Linked DNA regions of Callithrix jacchus. The protein of the gene in region 1 interacts with the protein of each later gene in a pairwise test. Links are inferred from orthologs where the notes say so. Each region holds a gene or a part of one and is shown in the gene's direction. Other genes may lie near its edges.

What was found. The genes of interacting proteins can lie anywhere in the genome.
Region 2: the proteins of TFG (region 1) and melanoma-associated antigen D1 interact in binary tests that used the Homo sapiens proteins (3 or more experiments, as listed by UniProt). The two-hybrid records come from large-scale screens. The link is inferred for Callithrix jacchus from reciprocal best matches to the Homo sapiens genes TFG and MAGED1.
Region 3: the proteins of TFG (region 1) and CSTF2 interact in binary tests that used the Homo sapiens proteins (3 or more experiments, as listed by UniProt). The two-hybrid records come from large-scale screens. The link is inferred for Callithrix jacchus from reciprocal best matches to the Homo sapiens genes TFG and CSTF2.

The regions. Positions count from the first base shown.
Region 1 is NC_133516.1:91,893,355-91,897,367, forward strand, and holds part of TFG (protein TFG), read left to right. Parts: intron 1-2,865; coding exon 2,866-3,012; intron 3,013-4,013. UniProt on the Homo sapiens protein: Plays a role in the normal dynamic function of the endoplasmic reticulum (ER) and its associated microtubules. Required for secretory cargo traffic from the endoplasmic reticulum to the Golgi apparatus.
Region 2 is NC_133524.1:52,176,823-52,179,811, forward strand, and holds the end of melanoma-associated antigen D1, read left to right. Parts: coding exon 1-84; intron 85-1,325; coding exon 1,326-1,703; 3' UTR 1,704-1,711; intron 1,712-1,918; 3' UTR 1,919-2,127; downstream 2,128-2,989. UniProt on the Homo sapiens protein: Involved in the apoptotic response after nerve growth factor (NGF) binding in neuronal cells. Inhibits cell cycle progression, and facilitates NGFR-mediated apoptosis. May act as a regulator of the function of DLX family members.
Region 3 is NC_133524.1:97,137,485-97,141,497, forward strand, and holds part of CSTF2 (cleavage stimulation factor subunit 2), read left to right. Parts: intron 1-579; coding exon 580-702; intron 703-3,938; coding exon 3,939-4,001; intron 4,002-4,013. UniProt on the Homo sapiens protein: One of the multiple factors required for polyadenylation and 3'-end cleavage of mammalian pre-mRNAs. This subunit is directly involved in the binding to pre-mRNAs.

The DNA.
Region 1 (4,013 bases):
CCAGAGGAATGGAGCCAATAAGAGATATGGGAGTTTTTTAGGGAGAATTGCAAGGTAATTACAAGGCAAAGTCCCATGATAGGCCATCTGTAAGCTGGGGAATGAGAGAAACTGAGGCTGATAGTCCACATCCAAAAGCCTGAAAGCTAGGGAAGCTGATAGTGCAGTCTTAGTCTGTTGCCAAAGGCCTGAGAGTTCCCTGGGAAGCTGCTGGTACAAGTCCTAGAGTCTAAAGGCCAAAAAACCTGGAGTCTCTTGTCCTGGAGTCTGATGTCCAAGGCCAGGAGGAGTGGAAGCAAGCACCTGGCATAGGAAGAAGAAAGAGCCAAAGATGCAGCAAGCAAACTTATCCCATCTTCTTCTGTCTGTTTTGTCAGAGTTGCACTGGGGGCTGATTGGATAGTGCCCACAACACTGAAGATGGGTCTTCCTCTCCTGGTTCACTGACTCAAATCTCAGTATCCTCTGGCAACAGTCTCACAGACACAACCCAAAACAGTACTTCACCAGTCATCTAGGCATTCCTCAATCCGATCAAGTTGATACCTAATATTAACTTAGTTATATAATAAATTAATTTTATTAGTTATATAATAAATATAATATATAACTAATTAATTTATTATATAACTAAGTTAATATTAGGTATCAACTTGATATTAGTTATATAAATAATAAATTAATTAACTTAGTTAATCTAAACTTTTAATTGAGTATAATTTGAAACATAGTGTTCTTAAGCCCACTAAGTAGATAATAACAGATTATAGGCCATACTAGGAATGTAAGTGCAAGCTTCTTAAAACTTCTAGTGAGATGTATCAGTGTGCTCCAAAGATCACCAGGAACATACCCATAGTAAACGGGTTTGGGTTAACTGAGTTACTGCAGCAAGGGAGAATGGATACCATGGAGAACAATAGGATGTCTTATGGGTATGTTAGAAAAGGATTTTTTTTGTAGGGCTTGGGTTTGTGTTAGCTGATTTTGGGTAAGGTTTGAGGAGGTAGAGCTTTGCTCTACATTGAATGCTCAGGAAGTGGAGATGATTCTATGATTGGGTATCTTACCAAATCTTATCTAGAAGATGAGAGGAATGAATCTTACTAACCCTTACCTGGAAGGTGGGAGGAGTGAAATGAGGCTGAAGCTGCAGTTGGTACAGCAGTAGCAGTCATTGGCCGGGATGGAAGGTTGTTTGGTCATTTTTCTGATGTGGTCAGTGTTCTTGTTTTCATCTGAGTTTTGACGTGATTATGGACTCTTAATCTATTTGTGTAATGTTGGTGTTCTTTGAAATATTTTACGTTCAAAAGGAGAACACCATGGCCTACCTGTGAGCGCCAGGCCTAACTGTACCAGACCAGTTTCTGGCTGTTAGGAGCTGTTTTTCTCCTCAAATATTGGAGGAAAAAATAGTAATACCAAGTGAAAACCAATAACTAATTGATGTAGGTAGGAAATTGTACTGAACTTCATAGCTATCCAGGGAGTGTGAATTACTGAAGAGTTTTCTTCTAAAAGCTTATAATTGGTGATTTGATGTTTGAAACATATTTAACAAAGAATCGCCCTGAACTTTTATCTTCACATAGATGTCCTTTTCTAATTAAGTACTTCAGGAGTTTGTACATATGTATACTGGCAATGCATAAAGCATTTTAGTTTAATTTTTTTGAACTCCTGTCTTGGTGTTTGCCATCAGAGCCTTGTGTCACTTTTTTGTTTTTTCTTTTTAAAAGTAACCTGAGTGGTGGCAATGTTTGTTGCTGAATGAAGGATTTCATTTTTTTTTTAGTCAACTGAAAGTCATTTGGACAAAATGAATAATAATTGAAGTAATGTTGCTTTCATTAAAGAAGTCACAACCAGTGATTACTGAGTAATCTTTGGCATTTTGTGGCTTATATTCTGCCTCTGAAAGTAGCTGCTTTGAAGGACAGTTGTAATGTTGATAAGTTCTGCATATATTTTAAAATGTATATTTATTTAAAAAAAATTTTTGAGAGAAGGTCTTACTCTGTTATCTAGGCTGGAGTGTAGTGGGGTGATCTCAGCAAACTGAACGTCTCCTCCCGGGATCCAGCAATCCTCCCATCTCCGCCTCCTGAGTAGCTAGGACTACAGGCATGTGTTGCCACACTTGGCTAATTTTTTAAGGTTCTTGTAGAGACGAAGTCTCACTGTATTGCTCAGGCTGGTCTTGAATTCCTGGGCTCAAGCAGTCCTCCCACCTTGGCCTCCCAAAGTGCTGGGATTATAGGTGTGAGCCACTATGGCTGGTCCTGCATATATTTTTTTAGCGATTTCTTTTAAGATCAACTATTTTAATTAGTTGTTTTATTTTCAAGACAAAATTATGCAAAGGTGATGATATATCAGTAATGTTATATCTGTAAACATTTTATGTATAAAGTTTTTGTATTATTTTAAGAATAGCATGAAATAAAATGAGGTTTTGAACTTACATGACTTATTAAATTTAGCAATTTCTACTAAATTTAATATATTCTATTAATAGCATGAAATAAAATGAGCTTTTAAAGTTAAATAATTGTTATTAAATTTAATAAGTTCTGTTAAAAAGTAGAGCTTTCTATTGGATTATTTTATTATAGTTGGATTTTCCTACTAAACCTTTTTACCAGCAATGCCATAGGTCTGGCATCAAGAAAGACTGATGAATGCTTCTTTTTTCCAAAATAAGTTATTAGCCATAAAGAATTTCTTTTTTTTTTTTTAAAGTCACTTCTGTATCTTCTTTTTGCTTTTTTTAAAGGAATTGTATGTATTTTTTTGTTGCATATTATTTATATACTTATTCATGAACTTCTCATTTTAAGCAAATAAATGCTTTTATTTCAGTTAATGGCCAACCAAGACCCCTTGAATCAAGTCAGGTGAAGTACCTCCGTCGAGAACTGATAGAACTTCGAAATAAAGTGAATCGTTTATTGGATAGCTTGGAACCGCCTGGAGAACCAGGGCCTTCCACCAGTATTCCTGAAAATGGTAAACTCAGAATCCATTATATTCTGATTTATTGTTCTTATGGTTTTTTTTTGGCAGGTTTTAAAAACCTGTTTTTAAGGAGGGAAGGATGACACCCCCAATGTCTCTCTCTCTGTTTTGTTCCTTCCTCTGCTTCTCTACTAGTGTTTATGCCTGTGTTCCTAAACCTTGCTGTACATCAAGATTGCTAGGAGGTTTCATTATACCAATTCCTGGATCTCATCATAGACTTACTGGAGTGTAGGGCCTGGAAATCCCATTTTTCAGGTTTTTTCTGGGTGATTCTTTTACAGCTAGTCTTGGACTTTGAGGTTTATTACACAGGCTGGTTTTCAAATCCGTTTGACTCATGAACCCTTTTTAATATAATAGATAACTGATTTTCCCCCATTTTACAGATGACAGGTACTATTTGTATTAAGATAAAGCAAGATGTGTCGACATTTGGAATGGACATGATTTTGGACCAAATGTGTTTTAAAATGTGGACTGAAATTTTAGTATGTGTTATGGCTTGAAAGTAGAGTTAAAAAACTGCTTTCTTTTTTTGTTGAAGACTCTTAGATGTTGCATTTAAAGAAAACTCTATTTTTTACAAATTCTTTATTCACTTATAATTTTCATATGTTTAAAACTGTTTACATTGTATAGTAATTTAAAAAATCTAGTCTGGATGGCTGCATATAAAGGACTTAACACGAGATAATTTTTGTGGAAATGGCATGTATTCTATTTTTGGCCACTAAATAATTTGGGAGTTTTTGTTTTCTGTCTTTATTTTAGTTACAGTCTAAACAAAGATGCATTTTTCATCATTTCTCTCTTCCTAACTTCTAATAGTCATGTGGAATTATGTTAATGGTAGATGCTTAATAAATATTTGGTGATTGATTAGTGATTTCTAGTTCCACTTCTATTTCAGAACATAACAGAGATTTGCTGAAATACTATAATGAGATTCTCTTGGTCATTTTATTATGAAACCTTTTATATTTTAGGTC
Region 2 (2,989 bases), on another chromosome or scaffold:
AACCCTCCTGAGTATGAGTTCCTCTGGGGCCTCCGTTCCTACCATGAGACTAGCAAGATGAAAGTGCTGAGATTCATTGCAGAGGTAATGGAGGAACTGTTCCCGCATTGATAGGTCAAGGGATGAAGTATCGCTGGCTAGGGAAGGCCCAGGGCAGGGATGAGATCCTAGGTATGGCACGTGGTAGGTGCCACATTACTGGTGGTATTTGTTGTTGCTGTTACATAAACTTAACATGTATTAGGTGCTAAAATATGTTAATATATTAGCTAATACAGTTTTGAATTTGGGTTTTTTTTTCTAGGTTTTTAAAGTATTTCTACTTTTCCTCAACTTTACTAAAGTACAATTGACAAAAATTGTATATATTTATGGTGTACAATGTGATTTTTAAGTATTTTGTTTTTTCATTCATTTATTTTTATTTTTCCCAAGATGGAGTTTTGCTGTGTTGCCCAGCCTGGAGTGCAAGGGTGCGATCTTGGCTCACTGTAACCTCTGTCTCTCGGGTTTGAGTGATTCTTGTGCCTCAGCCTCCCAAGTATCTGGGATTACAGGTGCATGTCACCACCATGCCCAGCTAATTTTAAATTTTTTTTTAGTAGAGACAGGGTTTTGCCGTGTTGGCCAGGCTGCTCTCGAATTCCTGACCTCAAGTGATCTGCCTGCCTCAGCCTCCCGAAGTGTTGGGATTACAGGCGTGAGCCACTGCACCCAGCCCATTCATTTTTTAATTGACTAATCAAAAGTATGCATATTTATAGGGTGCAACATGATGTTGTCATAATACATGTACATTGTGGAATGATTACATCAAGCTAGTTAATTCTCCATTGCCTCATATACTTGACTTTTTTTGTGATGAGAACATGTAAGATGTACTCTCTTAGCAATTTTAAATGTACAACACATTATTATTAACTATAGTCATCATGCTATACAGTAAATCTCCAGAACATATTCTTCCTATCTAACTGAAACTTTGTACCTTTTAACCAATATCTCCCCATCCTTCCTGACCCAAGGCCCTGGAAACTACCATTCTACTCTCTGCTTCTATGAGTTAGACCTTTCTGGATTCCATGTATAAGTGAGATCATCCAGTATTTGTCTTTCTGTGACTGGCTTATTTCACTTAGCATAATGTCATTCAGTATCATTCATGTTATTGCAAATGGCAGGATTTCCTTCTTTTTAAAGGCTGAATAAGTATTCCATTGTGTGTATGTATCACATTTCCTTTATCCATTGATGGACATGTAGGTTGATTCTATATCTTGGCTGTTGTAAATAGATTTTGTTTTATTTTCTATTCTTCATCTCAGGTTCAGAAAAGAGACCCTCGTGACTGGACTGCACAGTTCATGGAGGCTGCAGATGAGGCCTTGGATGCTCTGGATGCTGCTGCAGCTGAGGCTGAAGCCCGGGCTGAAGCAAGAACCCGCATGGGAATTGGAGATGAGGCTGTGTCTGGGCCCTGGAGCTGGGATGACATTGAGTTTGAGCTACTGACCTGGGATGAAGAAGGAGATTTTGGAGATCCCTGGTCCAGAATTCCATTTACCTTCTGGGCCAGATACCACCAGAATGCCCGCTCCAGATTTCCTCAGACCTTTGCCGGTCCCATTATTGGTCCTGGTGGTACAGCCAGTGCCAACTTTGCTGCCAACTTTGGTGCCATTGGTTTCTTCTGGGTTGAGTGAGATGCTGGGTATGTATATCACTTTGGATTGGGCAGTTAGGGTCTCTGGGGGACAAGGGGTCCATGGGATTGTATTTATGTGTATGAGCTAGAAGTCTTAGGAAACTCATTGTGGGGAGATGAGGAAAGTATGGGGCAGCACTCTTTGGTATGTATACTTCTTATTATTTGATATATATCATTGATTTTTTTACTTTTTCTTTCTTATGTTCACAGATATTGCTATCAATCGCAATAGCGTTTCCCCTGAGTGAGGCTGAATCCTCGGATTCCTTCTAAACACAGCTATCTAGAGAGCCACATCCTACTGACTGAAAGTGGCATGCAAGATAAATTTATTTGCTGTTCCTTGTCTATTGCTTTTTTTCCCCTTGTGTGCTGTCAAGTTTTGGTATCAGAAATAAACATTGAAATTGCAAAGTGAATTAGATGTGCCTCCTGTTTCTTTTTTTTCCCTACATTTGGGGAGCAGGCAACATGTAGGAGAGACAGGACCTTAGCTCTAGTTTGAAGGGTAGATCAGCTTTCAGCAGGTGGAAATGAGGATAGATCCAGCTAATGGATTGGGATACAAAGGCGGGATTAATGAACACAACGAGACCCAAGAACTAGTATAGTTTATTCAATAAATATGACTTCAGTGACTCTCATGTGATACATATGCTGCTAGGTGTCCCGGAGTGCACTGTGAGAAGGGTAATAGTGAGAGAGGGCATAGGTGCTCAGACAGTTGCATTTAAGAACACAGAGGAGACAAAACTCCTGGAGTCCAGAGCCTTATCTGGATGATAAGGTCCAGAGAGTAGGTAGTTGAAGGGTCAGAAGGTGACTGTTCTGGAGATAAAGGGTACCTGGCCTGTGATTCCAGGGTGGTGTTTATACAACCCACGTGGAAAGTGAAATAACTGCAGGAGAGTGGCAGGAGTAGGAATAGAGAACACCGTGAGTTAGATGCCAGAGTCTCCTCTGTGAGAAGGAAGATATACCCCTAGCCACATTGCTCATAAAGGGATGGGCTCCCAGGTACTCCTCCCCATCTCTGGAAATGCTGCCCAGGAGCCTGTCCTCTAGGAGGCCCTCACAATCTCCCGCCCACAGAGGACCAGGGCCACATCATAGAGACAGAGTCTTATGGACAGTGAAGGAGGCCTTACAATGGCTTCTTCTCTCCTGCAGGGAGAAAGAGAAGCCTTTGTTCCTTCAGGAACAAGAAGTACAGAGTAAGACAAAGCTCCATGCAGAGCTAGGCAGCCTTTGACTGTGACTGAGCAGGAACTTGGCTTGAGC
Region 3 (4,013 bases), on another chromosome or scaffold:
CTAAATCAAGCCAGCAAAAATAGAGAAAAGGAAAAAAGGAAGGGACAATGTAAAATAAGTAATAATAAGTGTAGAGTAAGATGGAAGGAATAAAAACTAATGTTGTTATTCTGCTAAATATGAATGAACTATTAGATTAAGTTCAAAAGCTCATGAAGAAAACAGACAAAAAAATACAAGGTCCCATGTGTTATATCATGTTAAACTGACATAAAATTGTATTTTAACAAACATAATTAGACCAAACAACAAAAGGAAAAAAAGAAATTTAAAAGCTATATACATTTATTGAAAGTGTATAGATAGGCAATTAATAAGAGTATTGCTCATATACTTGTTCCTTGTTCAACAATTGTAACTAAGAAGATTGAGTGAAATAATGATTTCCCATATGAAACATCTGTATAAACCCATAATGTATTATCAATATTTAAAGTTTTTAATGCAACAAACTTGCTTCTTATTAATTGATCTGTTCTAGGGTAGGTTAGATTACTCAGGATTTTTGTGTATCTACTTTATAATAGAGTTACACTTAGATTTGAATTATCTTTCTTTCTTTCTTTTTTTTTTTTTGAGATGGAGTTTCACTCTTGTTGCCCAGGCTGGAGTGCAGTGGCGTGATCTCTGCTCACCGCAACCTCCGCCTCCCGGGTTCAAGCAGTTCTCCTGCCTCGACCTCCCGAGTAGCTGGGATTACAGGCACGCACCACCACACCCGGTTAATTTTGTAGTTTCTAGATTATCACTTCAATTAGCATTTTGCTAATGGACAAACAAGTAAGAACACTGAGGAATTAAATAATAGGATTAATAAACTTCACTTAATATATAGAGGGAGCCTTATATCTTTTGACTAGAGAATGTACTCCCCACCTTCACTAACCAAGGAACAGTTTAAAAAAAAATTTACAGTACTTAGCCATAAAATTAACAAATTCAAAGATAGGAAGATTTTACAGAGCATATTCTTTGTTTATAAGCCAGAAAGATTAGAAATAAATAATTAAAAGCCAACTGAAAAAAAAAACTTTACTTGTGAAATTAAGGAACATACTCTAATCCTTGAATTAAAGAGGAAATAAAAAGAAATGTATAAAGGACAAAATGCATGTATATTTCATACAGAAAAAGTATGGGAAACAGTGAAGGCAGTGCTTAAAGGAAAATGAATATCCTTAAATACCTATATTAAAAAATAAAGGAACTAAGTACTAGTTGTAAAGAATTTTAAAAAGACAGTAAGCCAGAGGATACCAAGAAGAGGGAATTAATAAAAGTTGAAAGTAAGCATAAAAGAAATTCAAATAATTAAAATTTCAAGTGATATTTTTGTGAGTTTATAGCATTTATACTTAGGAAGTTATTAAAACTTAAAATCTCACTAAGATTTTTTAGTTAAAATGCTCTTTGAGGCTGAGCACAGTGGCTCATGCCTGTAATCCAAGCACTTTGGGTGGTTGAGGCAGGAGGATCACTTAAGCCCAGGAGTTAGAGACCAGCCTGGGCAACATAGTGAGACCTCGTTTCTGGGGGGTGCGGGAAATGCTCTGACAGTGAAGAAAATAGAGGAAAGAAAGAACCTAGTAGAAAAATGGGCAAAGAAAAATGAGTAGGCACTTCATAGAAGAATACATCCAAATTGCCAACAAAACAAAGGCATTTACAGTCTGGGTTACAAATTAAATAACAGTGAGACTTTTTTTTTTTTTTTTTTTCCGAGACAGAGTTTCGCTCTTGTTACCCAGGCTGGAGTGCAATGGCGCGATCTCGGCTCACCGCAACCTCCGCCTCCTGGGTTCAGGCAATTCTCCTACCTCAGCCTCCCAAGTAGCTGGGATTACAGGCATGCGCCACCATGCCCAGCTCATTTTTTGTATTTTTAGTAGAGACGGGGTTTCACCATTTTGACCAGGATGGTCTCGATCTCTTGACCTCGTGATCCACCCGCCTCGGCCTCCCAAAGTGCTGGGATTACAGGCTTGAGCCACCGCGCCCGGCCCTAACAGTGAGACTTTACTTAAATCTATCAGACTAGAAAAGGTTTCAAAGAGAGATGACACTTAATGTTGGTAGAAAAAAATGATACTCATATATGGCTGGTGGAAATGTGGAGTTTTTCAGCCTTTTAAGAAAGTAATCTAACATTAAAAATTTGTATACATTTTGACCGGAGAATTCCACTCTGAGAATCTAGCTCATATAAATAAAAATGCCATTATGTGATAATGTATAATATTAGAAAGTATGCCCGCAATGCCTTCGGCCATTTCTTTCCTTGAATCCTTAATTTTTGTATTGTTTCGGTGATTGGTCTAAATAGAGTGAATAGAATGTTAAGTCTAGAAGAGAGCTTTGAAATAATTTAGACCTAGCTTTCATTTGCATGAATGTTCATGAGACAGTTCGACTAGTGGTTCTCAAACTTTGGTATGTGTTAGAATCACCTGAAGGGCTTATAAAACAAAGACTGCTGGTCCCCACCCCCAGACTCTAATTCAGTAGGTTAAGGTGGGGCCCCGAGAATTTGTAATTCTAACAAATTCCCTGATGGTGCTGAGGCTGCTAGTTCAGACAACTCATTTTCTTTACAGATGAGGAAGCCTGGGAATGTATTGATTTTATCAAATCATTTATTCGGAATTAAAATTACTTAGTAGTAAGGTTAGGGCTAGCACTCAGTACTTTGGCTTCTTAATTCATAGCTCTTTGGTAGTTGGCATATTAAATGAAATAGGGGAATGTGACATGTACTTGCTATTTGAGGGAAGTATTAATGAACAAACAATAGATCAGCTTGTCTTTTCTCCCCACTCACACCATATATTGCTCCTTTGAGGAAAAGAGAATTGCGGCTCTATGGAAAGGACCAGACAAGGACTTGTAGTGCATGATTATTCCTTGTATAGCAGTTATCATTCCCCAGCTCGTTAGACTGGTGGTTCTCAGCCTCGTTAGACATAGTGACCCCCTTTCATAACAGATATTTTGCAATGACTGCCAAAATGAAATGCACAAAGGATATAACCTATGTAACATGATTTCAAAAAATCAGTATGATGTCCTAATTATAAAGAAGTAAAAGGACATTAATTTGTAATACAAAAATTTAATAAGCAAGTGATTAGGCACCACTACACCAGGAAACAAATGTAATAGTCAGATGTTTATACCTACTTCATGAATGTAAAAACTGGAAATGCAGAACAGATTACAGGCATATTGTTTTGGCAACTCAAATACCACAAGGACTTCGACATCAGCTATGTGATTTTCTGAAATGGTAAAATCTCATGTTAAAGTTATTAAACTGCAGTACTCATAATTACTCAGTAATTGCATTTCTGGAAAATTTAGTGTGTGTGTATATAAATAAACAGTACAAGGAACCTTTGTGTTTACAAATACAACAGACTTAGGTTCCAAGTTCAGAAGACTGTAAGTTAGTTTTCATTTGTGTGAATGTTCATGAGACATTTGAAAGTTCAGGATACAGGGTAATTCTTGATTTTGTGGAACTTATACATTGCAGAACATCTAGTATCCCTGGCACTTTCTCATTCAAAACTAGCCATGGCCCCACAAATCTTGTCACAACCAAAACAGTATACCCGCAGAATTACAAAATATTCTAGAAACGGTACTGCCTCTCATGAGAGGAGGTCCATGGGTAAGTGACATTGTTTTCCTGTATTATAGAGGAGCTTCCTGCCAAGAGTTTGGTAACCAATGGGATTAATTATTCTTCTTGAACTCACTATTCTGTCACTGAAACATAATATACATTGTAAATATACTAACACACCCCATCTTCTATCTCATTGCATTGTTGAATATCTTCCTTTGTAGGTTTCTGCTTGTGGAACAGAATGAAGAAATTTGTAAACTCAGCCACTGTTCTGATTGGTGTTTTTTCTTGTCTGCTCTTTTTCTTCTAGGAGGAATGCAGACTCAGGTTGGAATGCCAGGAACTGGACCAGTGTCCATGGAACGGGGACAAGGTAAATAAATAT